Linked DNA regions of Oryzias latipes. The protein of the gene in region 3 interacts with the protein of the main gene of each other region in a pairwise test. Links are inferred from orthologs where the notes say so. Each region holds a gene or a part of one and is shown on either strand. Other genes may lie near its edges.

The links. The genes of interacting proteins can lie anywhere in the genome.
Region 1: the proteins of pdlim7 (region 3) and enkd1 interact in binary tests that used the Homo sapiens proteins (3 or more experiments, as listed by UniProt). The two-hybrid records come from large-scale screens. The link is inferred for Oryzias latipes from reciprocal best matches to the Homo sapiens genes PDLIM7 and ENKD1.
Region 2: the proteins of pdlim7 (region 3) and zmynd11 interact in a two-hybrid assay, tested with the Homo sapiens proteins (2 studies listed by BioGRID). The link is inferred for Oryzias latipes from reciprocal best matches to the Homo sapiens genes PDLIM7 and ZMYND11.

The regions. Positions count from the first base shown.
Region 1 is NC_019867.2:6,232,630-6,236,714, forward strand, and holds the start of enkd1 (enkurin domain-containing protein 1), read left to right. Parts: upstream 1-1,245; 5' UTR 1,246-1,423; intron 1,424-2,221; exon of another isoform or gene 2,222-2,236; coding exon 2,237-2,321; intron 2,322-2,502; coding exon 2,503-2,730; intron 2,731-3,001; coding exon 3,002-3,174; intron 3,175-3,255; coding exon 3,256-3,390; intron 3,391-4,085. UniProt on the Homo sapiens protein: Microtubule-binding protein which regulates microtubule organization and stability. Promotes the stability of astral microtubules and facilitates the proper orientation of the mitotic spindle.
Region 2 is NC_019875.2:8,102,540-8,106,606, reverse strand, and holds the start of zmynd11 (zinc finger MYND domain-containing protein 11), read right to left. Parts: upstream 2,841-4,067; 5' UTR 2,624-2,840; intron 1-2,623. UniProt on the Homo sapiens protein: Chromatin reader that specifically recognizes and binds histone H3.3 trimethylated at 'Lys-36' (H3.3K36me3) and regulates RNA polymerase II elongation. Does not bind other histone H3 subtypes (H3.1 or H3.2).
Region 3 is NC_019868.2:19,528,348-19,531,912, reverse strand, and holds part of pdlim7 (PDZ and LIM domain protein 7), read left to right. Parts: intron 1-777; coding exon 778-974; intron 975-3,565. UniProt on the Homo sapiens protein: May function as a scaffold on which the coordinated assembly of proteins can occur. May play a role as an adapter that, via its PDZ domain, localizes LIM-binding proteins to actin filaments of both skeletal muscle and nonmuscle tissues.

The DNA of each region.
Region 1 (4,085 bases), on a different chromosome or scaffold from region 3:
TTAGGTTGGGTGCATCAGATTAGACAGAAAGTGCACATGTGTGGCACTTACCTTCTATTTACTACACCTTAAGTTCTGAGGGTACAATAACAAGATGCCTTCTCCATGTAAGCATGTGTTTACGCATAGTTTGTCTTGCCATTACATAAAATCATAAGCATGATAACCTGAAATAAACAAGAGCTTCACTGACAGACAGTCGCTGTGTCAGGTTGATGAGGTGCTCACAGCTCCAGACCAAAAAAAAAAATTTCAAAATATTCATGGCATCACGCCCCCTAGTCCCACAAGTGACAGTGTGTTTTTGTGAGCATTCTCTCCACCTCTGGTTTCAAATGGTGGTAACAGCCTGCAGCGTTCAACCCCACATTTTAAAGTTAAGACCTCCAGTCCCCTGTGTCACATAGTTCAGATGTTTGATCAACCAGTAAGACACGTTGGGATTTTTTTCACCTTTTTGTTGGAGCATGCATATATTCATGATGAGAGTTAATGAGCGACTAAACAGGTTTAAACTTCACGTTCTACTTCAGCCACCGCAGGCCTGGATCTGGTTTGTGTTGCTGCGGTTCTCCCACCCTAATGTCTGAGTGGCTCATTTCAGCCTCGACCCTTAAAAAAACTGTTGTCAACTAGAAAGTCCTGCGCGCAGACGGACGAGATGATTTAGAAATAAAAGAATCTTCCAGACAAAGCGTGGACCTACCTTTGTCTTTAAAGCAACGGACTGTGCACACTTTAGCAGCGCTGTTATGTGCAGCTGGACACGGTGAAGGAGAAAGCACAGGCGGCACCACTGCGCATGCGTCGTAAAACCCTCACCGAGGGCGGGGCCCTTGTACAATTGACATTGAGCAAAACATATTTAATGAATATATATATATATATATATATATATATATATATATGTATTCGTGTTTTATGAATCTATCTATCTATCTGTCTGTCTGAAGACCAACATTTTATTTTAAGATAGAATTACTGAAAAAAAAAACATTTAGTCAGTTGTGATGTGGTACGGAGCCACGTAGTACGGTGACCTGACATGTCATGTGGAATGCTGTATAGCAGTAAAATCGAGTTTTCTCGTTGCCTTACAGACGAAACTCAGGGAAAGGAATATATGTTACCAAGTCACGACAGAAATACACCTGCCAAAGCTATCAGCAAAAAAACAGGCCAATCAAAATCCATGCTATAATACTACTTCTTTATACTGTAAATAATATGCAGGCGAATCTTCATTATAATTTCGGAATTTGTCATTTACAGTAAGGTTTTATGGGTATCAGCCCTCTTCCTCGATGTTCGACCTTTGTGCGCATGCTCCGTTGCCATAGTGACGACTTATACAGCCCCACAAGTGGTTGATACCAGAGCGTCATCGAAGAAAACCCTAATCCTTTAACGAGACATTTAAAAGGTAAACAGTGTATACTGATTTTAGTGAGCGGTTTATTTTTGATTAACGTTACCGATAAGCGTGTTTTATATTTCTCCTTGCATGCTTGTTTGTATTAGTTCTTGTTCGAGCTAAGTAGCGTATTTTAGAACCAGCTAATAAACAATAGCTGTTCACTTAACAGAAATATATGTGAGGATAAGGGCGCAACAAACAAAAGCAAGAAAACCTTTTAGCTTTAATATACAAGATAATCGATGCTCTATATGAAAGATGATATTGAAAATAAAAATGATTCCAATTTGGTAAAGACAAATCTTGAATGTTATATATAGGTGGCTTTCAACAAAGAAGACAATTCCAACATTAACACACTTTAACATTCAGTTCGGTTGTATTATAATTTATATGATAATTAGAATAAAAATATTGTTATTTTAGATTAATTTAATGCCAATCTTTTAAAAACACACCTATTTTTCCTCTCTTAAAAGTTGTCATATTCTGTGTGGGCCTCTATAAGAGTTAAGAAACTCTTGAATTGTTTATCGGTTTATCTGGGTTTATGCCCTCATTTCTCTTGATTTTATTTCTACAATTTTATTTAATGCTAACTTTGCTTTGGATTTGTATGTTCTTCATGAAATAAAGTTTTATATTTTTTAATTTTGTCAATATGAGGTTGGAAAAAAAGCTAGTAAATGAAGTTTTTTTCTTGAAATATCTGTTTTACATCATGACTGAGAGTTGTATAGTTTCCATGATGCTTTGTGTGCAAAACATTTACAAAGATTTATTTTTGTTGTAATATTTTTGAAGTTTCTTCTGTTTTAGATGTGTGAAGGACCTTCATCAATATCTGGCCCAATTCCCCCAGACCCTTCACTGTTTCCTCAATACTACCAACGACCAGCTTCAGGTTAGAAGCACCCAAGCATAGAAAAATACAGGTGTAATGTGCATTTGTCTGTTAACTGTTTTTTTTAATGCCACTTTTTTTTTCTTAATTAAAAAACATTTTCCTAAATGTATATTGAGCATTTTATATTTTCTTCATTTTGGATTAAAATGGCATCATCTTGTTGACTTGATTCTTTCAGCTCGTGGTCGTTTAGAGGGGAACCATGCTGGAACTCTGGGCCTTTTCTTGGGCCCCTTTGCTCCTGATCCTGTTGTGTTCCCAGGCTGCTATAGCTCTCGTACAGCAGTCCACCACCGTCCACGCATTGGCCCCAACGCAGCCCATATTCTGGAACGGGGTCGGAAAGGCGTCGTGGGAGAACTGATGAAACTAGACAACGTCTCAGTCAGTCCTGCTCCAAAACCGAGTAAGTGAAGCTGCTTTATAATCCATTGATATTTCATTGTATTTAAACAGCTGTGTATTGGAACGCAGCTGTGCTTTTTCCATCTATTTAAGTCAAAACCAGTGCTTTTTTAAACTTGTTTTAAGATTTATCAGATTTGTTGTAAATATAAGAATCTCAAAGGTAACTAAAACAATATTTGTGCACTACTTTTAACTGGATGGTAGTAAATTTGGCTAATAATAAAAGATAAAACTATTATTTGGCTAACTTTTGTTGCTTGACCCTGCAGAACAGAGAGTGCATGACTTTGGTAAAGAAAACGTACGCCGGCTGAAGGAGATTCAGAAACGCTGCAAAGAGCAGGAGGCTGAGAAAGCCCAGGCCCGTCCTGTTCCAGTGAAAGCTTTGTGGACTGCTCCAAAATACCAACATGTGTCTTCCAGGGTGCTGGCCCAGCTAGAGGCAAGGACTACTCTTATTTGTCATGAATGTAACGCTTTTGAGCTTTTCTACATGAAAGTGCGATCTGTTCCCCTCATGTAGAGTTCTACACCTACGGTAAAACCACAGTGTCAAAACTTCCTCAAGGCCCACTCTAATGGCAGTTATGCTGCACCATCAGTACCTTCACTTGCTTTCAAAAATTCATGCAACTCTGCGCAGGATCAGGACTTGAAGGTAAAAGATTAAGAGTAACTTTGTAAACATGTAATATTCCTATTTTTTCTACTGTGACATTTTAGTTTATAAACACATTTGGCAACATTTCTGGACAGAAATGGTCATTTTAGAGGACATGTGCGAGTGCTATAGTTAAGCCTTTATATTAAATAACATCCATGTATATGGTAAAATATTACTGGGAACAGACAATGGAATGATTTTTTAATCAAATATGAGTTATTTCCCTGAGCTTTACTTCCCAACCCGGAAGTAAGACGACCCGATCGCTGAGGCACCGGCTTTTGCTCCTCGTGGGTGCAGCCCATTTCATTACGTCATCCACCGGTGTCAGCAATTGTTTATTAAAAAAAAACAACCTCCAAACTTTTGCAAAGATGGATGTGCATAATGTGCATATAAAAGGAAATCACATATAAATATCATATAAAAGCTGATCACCGCTAGCTCCGCTGAGAAAGTGGGTGGGTGGGTGTGTTAGCTTGGGGCCGGAGGTGGCAGCATAGATTCTTCCTGGAAGGGACTGTTCTCACTGGTCTGTGTCAGCTCAAGAGAGACCAATTGTTTTTGTGGGTTTCGAGAGGCTGGTGCTCCGAACACAGAGTATTAGAGGAGTACTCAGAAATGCTTGAACAGAGCAAAATACCGCTTTGGGTTTTTTTTTTTTGTGAGGAATTAACATTATAATTCTA
Region 2 (4,067 bases), on a different chromosome or scaffold from region 3:
ATCGAATGACCGTCAACTGTTTTTGTCATGTGAAGGGATAAAAGTAAAACACTATAAAGCATAAAGAGAAGAACGATTGATAGTATGGCTTCTTTGTAACTTAATTCATATAAAAACCCAACACAGTTTCCATTTCAAAATAAACCTAGACAAACATGGTGTTGAAATTTAGGGAATTTAGCAAATTTGGTATCCATAAAGCAAGTCTTACTGGGTTCCTGTTTAAATTGCAAAAGATACTGAAATATCCCAAAGTTAAAGTATTAAAACCCAAGCCTGGAACCCAGTTACAATAATAAGGGAAATATTTGGGAATGAAATGCGAGAGGATGAAGAATATTTTAAGGCATATTATCACCATATTTATAGATTGTTTTTATCACTCACTGAAATTATACCCAAGCTAGTTTTAATCAAATTTTACAAAAAAAAATGCAAATGTCTAAACATATTTATTTTCCATTGCTTATGAAAAGCTAAATTCTAAACTATCTACTTTTATTTGTCTTCAACTATGTTTTAACCAGCACACCTCCTAAAAATGGACATGAAAGAAGCACTCTGACGAGAAACCAAAGTGTTGAAGACCTTCTAGAAGCTTTGAATAAACCCCCTCTGACTGCTATTGATGCCCTGCCTGGTCTCCCACAAATAGCTTAAGAAATTCTAATCCAATTAGATGCAGTCCTCCTCCAAACCATCTGTGAAACTTAAGATGTCACTTCCATAAAAAACAGGAAAAAGCCAACCAAAAAACACGTAGACGGGATTCAAATATTCATTTTGTGGAACATGAAGCTCTGACAGATGTCAAGCATATTTCTGTATCAATACTTTTTAACTTGGCATGATTTAAGAAACTGTATACCGTACCAGGAGGAATTAGCAAACCACTTCTTATCGAGACATGCAAAAATGTTAAAATAAAATAATCACTGTGTTTACAAAATCTAAAAAAAAGTTTACTTTCCTTATCTCCTCAAATATAGACTTTTTGTTCATGCTTCAATTTTCAAGGCTAAATTAACACATAAGACATAACAAGTTTTAGTGGTAAAACAGAAGCTAAGATAACATCTGACTGACTTTGACACAACATGTTAGGATAAATATAAATGTTAAATGAAATAAAGCAGGTGAGATCACCAACAACGGTGTGCAAGTTTCTTTTCCCTCAAAAGGAAGTCAAGATCCAGTGAATTCTGTGATTATAAACAATCTATAATACCAAAAGAATACTTCATATTTCTTTAACCATCTGTTTCCACAGCAACTGCATACTGCAGAGCAGAAATGAGTCCCTCTGCTTAACGGCTTAACATAAAAAAATTGTCAATGCACAAAGAAGACACATTTTAAGATCATTTACCTTTGCTCAAAATAAATAATATTCCCTTTCAAACATCAACATAGTCAGAAATTATGATAAAACCTCGTTTAAAAGAAACTCAACTGGTGTATTCTCTCATTGTACTACCCTGTTTTGACTTTTCACTATAAAAACTGCAACATCAAATGCAATCTTTAAAGGTTTATTAACAATTTAAAAGAAAAGGTTTAAGTGAAGATCTAAATTATGGGAATAAACCGCAAAACTACAGAAATAGGGCGTTTAAATGAGTGAACAGAGGGGATAACCTGCTAAAATAGTTTTAAAAAGATGGAAATGTTGCCTGATATGTTAAATTAATCTGTGGCAGTATGTCTATTGTCACAAATGTTGGAAAACCGTGTACACAATGCGAAATGAGTTGTCTCAAAAAGCCTCCACGTGATGACAGGTGGACCACACCAGTGAGTCTGCAAGGCGGGAGACGCCACCAGCACCAACCAGGGGGTTGTGGCTAGTTTGGTGGACAAAGAAACGACATTTTCCTACATCTGATCTCAAACGAACAATTTTTATTTAAGGAAAGCAGCGATGTGAACCCTGAAAGCCACTCGGGTTAAGCGATTTTAGCTCCAGTCATTTTTCAACTTTAACCCTTAAGGACTGACACCAAAAGTAATGCCAAGCGGCGCACACTAGATACATAAACCAGGGTTGGAAGGTTTGTTATAAAACTTACTTTCAGGACCTAAGAAAAATATAAGATGAAGTACAGCTTAATCTTTCACAACAAAGACTCAGCAGAGGAGGCCACAGGGCTGCCTGGTACTAGCTTAGTGTAGCTATTAGCAGCAGCGCTAACGTTTCAAGCCAAAAACAAAGAAATGCAACATAGTGTTTTAAAATATGATCAAGTATGACTTAAATCGATTTGCCCTTTTATACTACTCAAATGTTTGCACAAAATGTGTTTAGTTGTGATCGTTATTTCCACTTAGGTAATTAAGTTACGTAGCGAAGCTAGCGTGAAGCTAGCTTCTGTATGCCACTAAATAGATAAATTTGCATTTATGGAGGAAAATGGCTAACATAAAAAGTATTTAAAACTATCTTACGCTGTCAATAAAACAGAAACTAGTTATATATAAAGACATGTCAGTTTTGGAAGGCGCCATGTTCACTATCATCCATCACGAGATTGGAGCAGGATTCGCGGCTAAGCTAACGGTGCTAGCACCCGCAGTGTTGTCATTGAGCCCGAGCCATTTTTCACGAGAATAAGCCCAAACTCACCTCCGCCTTGGCGGCACTGGCACACGGCGCTGCAGAAAATCCGCAAAGGAACAGACACCAGGCAGCTTACATTAGTAATTCTCGAGCCGAAGCTTCGGGCGGGGATTTGTGTCCCAGCTTGCCGCCGGACAGCAGAGGTGGGGAAAGAGGTAAACACAGACGGAGCCGAGGGGCAGCAGGTGAACCGAGCGGGGAGCTCTAGTGGTGGAATCCGGCACGTCGCACCTCCCGGCCGACACGTTAAAGGGACGGTGCCCCTGTTTTAGAGGTTCAGAACATTATGGAAAGGAGAAAAACAAACACATAAAGAAAACACTTTTTTTTGGAAATGCACATAAGTAAAATAAGCCTTACATAAAAATAATTAAAGTGAAGTAAAACTAGAAATCAAAACAAAAAAAGTTGGCAACTCTCTTGGTAAAGTATCAAAGCACCTGGCAACATATGAAAAAACACAAAAAACATTTAAAAAAAAACCCACCTAAAGCCTATTTAATTAATCTTAGCCTAAATCGTGTGATACAGTCTAAAAAAACTTTAATAATAAAAAAAAGACGTTCATATTTACTAATTATTAGATATTGCGATAAAATTCTGAATTGTTCCTACCCACCACTGTTGAAACTGAACTAGTTTGTGGCATCATGTCTAATATATAAATATCAAACTTCACTTAGTCTTTAAGCTATATTTCAGTATTTTAATTGTTTTAATGTCTGGGCATCTAAACTAAGTTTTAGTCAAAAAAGAAAAGTTATAAAAGCATTTGTTTTTGCCAGTTAAAAAAATAAACATATTGAGAATGAGAGAACAAGCTTAAAAGGCTAATTTTAATTTAGATTAGGTTATAGTGCAGTATAGAATCCTTATTGTATCCCATTTATTCATTTTACTATCAGACTTACTGTCAAAAGAAAAAAATTATGGCAGTCAAAAAAAACTGCATATGCAGAAATACTGGATTGAACATAAGAAAATATATTAGAAAACAGATTTCTACTAAAATGTTGAGGTTGTAAGGAAAATACGTAGTTTGTTTGTTTTTGCGCCTCTGCACAAACTATCACGGTTTACTCAGCTAATGATGGGTGGTGGTTAGTGACATAATTGTAAAAGTTTTTTTATTTGCCTGAGTCTTCTATAACATGAGCTTTAGCATGTTGAGTTGTGATTTAAATAAACCATAGAACAATGCCTGTTTGTTCTTTTTGTCTCTTCTTGAACCGTGATGGACAGTAATCATGTCCAGAGCTCACACCTCTTCTCACCCAGTAACAGCAGGTATCAGCCCTGCATTCCTGTTAATGGCTTATTGTTGTTTTCTGTGTGGGGGATCATGTGACATTGTTCCCAATTGTTCAGAAGGACTGCAGATTCCAGGTGCTTTGGGTGGTTATTTTACATGACAAAAGCTTTAGATTAAGACTACAGGGTTTGGGTTTCG
Region 3 (3,565 bases):
CAACACTTGGCTGTGAGATTCTGCTTCATCTGGAGATTTGAAGTGTCCTTTAACCCCCACTTGCTGTTGGATTATACAGTGTGTCATGTTAGTTTGTGTTGAAATGAATTGGAATCACCTATGAGCACTGCATCAGCCGAGCACCAGTGAGCTGCTAAACGAGTCGTGCGCTTGGCGTAGTTTTGTTTTGAGAAATTCTCGTCTTCTTTTGTTCTGCCTTGTGCAATCCCCCATTACCAGCGAGCGATGTCGCCTTCGGTTTCTCTTTTTTTTCCACACTTTCACAGCTACTTGCCTGATGAACTGCACTTTCATAAGTACAATAGTGTCATGAACTCCTTGAACTGATGCAAACTGCTATTAGTCAAAGCAGCTGGCACGAGCCTGCATAAAACCAGTGTTCCATTTTAATAGAAGTTGTTCTGCAGTGTGTGCATAATGCTCAGTGAGGAATCTCATTAGTGGGACATGCCAGTTCTAGACGAATATTTTATCTGCTGCAGCAGGTTACTTTGGCCCGTCGTTGGCTGACAGCCAGCACAAATAAACAGCAGCGTTCACTACTGAAGCTCTTCGTCTGTGCAGAGGAAAAGATGGCCGGTTTGCACAGTGTTGTAATCTTTTGCTACGAGAGGAGACTGGAAAGGTTGGGGATTGTGCAACAGCAGAACTTTTTTTTGTGTGTGCCATGAGTTTTAACTGCATGTTGTGCTCTGTGCTGCTTTGTGTACTTTTTTCTTTTTTTTTTCTTTCCTCCCTTCCCCGACACTCCCACAGGATTCACACACGGCAGGTTCTGCTCAGCCAAAGTACTCCTTTGCCCCGAGCACAACCATTAACAAGATGGCAAGGCCATTTTCAGCAGGTGGTGGCAGTGCCAGCTCAGGACCCGTTATTAAACCTGTGGCCTATTCGCCTAAACTTAACACCCCGCACTCACAGGGCAATGCCAGCACACAGCAGCCACAGAATGGGTAGGTGGAAAAAAGAAAATCAGAGCTGCAATTTGACTAATGTGGTTTTAATGATGTTTTGAAGTCTCGTTATTCTGGCTTCTCGTTAAGAAGAGAAAATGACTCCTTTAGGGTTTAAAGGCTGGGGTTCACTGTTGCCAAAATAATGTCATATGATGAGAATATACAGAAAAAATCTCTAAATGTAAATATATGCTGAGATCAGCGTATTTTGGCACAACAGGATGAAAAAAAAGATGAATGAAACCAACCTTTGTCCATCTATAAACAAAAAAGTAAAACTTTGTGACAAGAATATTAGAACTTTGCTCTTAAACCCATAAATGTGTTTATGGTAGGTCTTTAGAATTCAGCAAAAAGCCTATTATGTCCTAAAATAATGCACACATTACTCTGTGAGGGGGAGAATGAAAAATGGAGAAATGTAATATTGATTTTGAACTGCAGAACAATGCATCACACAAGACGCTACTTTGAGAAATGCTCTTGCTTAACACACCCTCCTCTTTGTGAACAATTTATTTTAACAGATGGGGTTATTGATTATTACTTTCATCTGTAATCACCTGTAATGACAGAGAAAAATATGAAAATTGAGTTTCAAGTTCTTTGAAGAAACCTTCTGAACTTTTTTATTGAATTGTTTTTGGCTTTTAGAAATGTTTACTTCAAAAAAACCAAAGTAATATTAAAGCTAAAGGTTATATCTCTATTATACCATGGTCCGGTTGAATACTCGATTCTGATTGGCTGCTGGGTATGCGTAAAAACCTGATAACCGCACGGTGAAAAAAGAAGTCCCGGTCGGCTAGCTTAAATGATTTGTATCACTGCGCCGGCTTCTGTAAAACAACCTTTTGCTTCATCATCTGGGCAAAAACAAGCGGTAAGCGATTAACTTTCCCTCTGAATTGATGCTTTATTCAACCCATCGGGACGATGAGCCTATATATATCGCCGAATCTTGACTGCAGCGGTGGTGCTGCGCGACGCGGACTATATGTTACGCCGCATCACGTAACATATAGTACGCTGTTTATGAGAAAAGTGATCCAAATCGGAAAAAAAACAAGAATTAAGGACTAAAACCTGGTTAATATGTATTGCTTTTGTGAGTGACCATGGTATAAGCGGGTTAATGGCCTTCGAAGTGTGCGGTTACTACTTTTTAACGCACTTCGCGGAAGCAACCGTCCGACGCGAAGGTTCAGGCTTCCACGGCGTGCGTTAAAAAGTAGTAACCGCACACTTCGTCGGCCATTAACCCTTACATAATTCATCTTATCGCTTCTGTTAAAAAAACATTTTTTCTGTTTTATAGTGTTTATTTATTTGTAAATAGGAGCTGGAGAACCTATTTGAAATAAATCAGAGTTTTGAAAGCAGTACACAGAAAAGCTAAAAGCAGCAGCTCTTTTCTGAAAAGTGCCCTCTTAAAAATAATCAACTGCTTTCCTCAAACTGGAGAACTTGATTCAATGAATTTCACACAATGATGTGCAGTCTTACACAGCTGCTCTGCATAAAACAGTGAGGAAATTAGAGATGCATGTGTGAATGCAGCTGGATTGAACTGCAGAAGTTGTAGCAACATTAGTTGATTGGAAAATTATTCCATTAGTTAATGGAAAATTGGCTCTTTTTAAAATGTATTTGTTGTAAAATTTAAAAACAAACCTTTCTAAGACTTTGTGAGGAGTGTCTCTAAACCCATCCTGAGATAAAAAGTCTTCCATAGTCCAGGCAGCATCCTATAATTTGGGTAATGGCGGTGCTCCGACTGCAGCTGCAGTTCCATGTGGTCCGTCACCGTATTTAGTCTTGCTCATAAATTCTGCCAAGTTCTCTCCATTTGTACTTGTTCGGTCCAGAGACACTTCACTTCTGTGTGTAGATGGATGAGCACGTCATTAGAGATGAGTAGAGCCTCCTCAGAACCTTGTGCCCATTTTGCTCTATTATTAGATTTTCTATAGAAAGAAGGAAAGCAGCAACTGTCTAAAGTGCCCAAGCCAAAAGTCACAAGATACATAAACATTTATTTATACATTTTTTGTTACCTTTGGACATTAGCATAAAGCATTCCAGCTGTAGAATTTGTATAAAGCTCATTTACATGCACACCAAATATTTGATTACTGTGAAGAAACTGGATTTTCTAGAAAGGACTGTATTAATAAAAATATTAGGTTGGTTCGTTCCCTTTTCAGTTTCTTACACACAGAAATAATGAATAATGACTCAGAGACAAAACTTAGCTTTTGTGGAGGTTTTACTTCGCACAAACACGAAGGGGACAGACATGAACATGGTACATTCAAAGTCCGAACCAAAGAGTTCAGGGATGGGCTTTGGTATAAAAACCCTGCATTTGCATATTCAGAAGATCGTCCAATGGACCTCGTGTGAAAAACACGCCCACAGGTTACTGCTGGAGAGAAGCTCCAAGGCTAAAGTGAAGATAAGTCTGAGGCCTGCTCAGCAGAAAACATGCACAGAAAAGAGGGAGTATGGGAAGAAACTGTTAGAACAATAGTTTGGCTGTGCTTTCTTCAAATGTAATATAATTTTGAGATGACAATACATGCTCA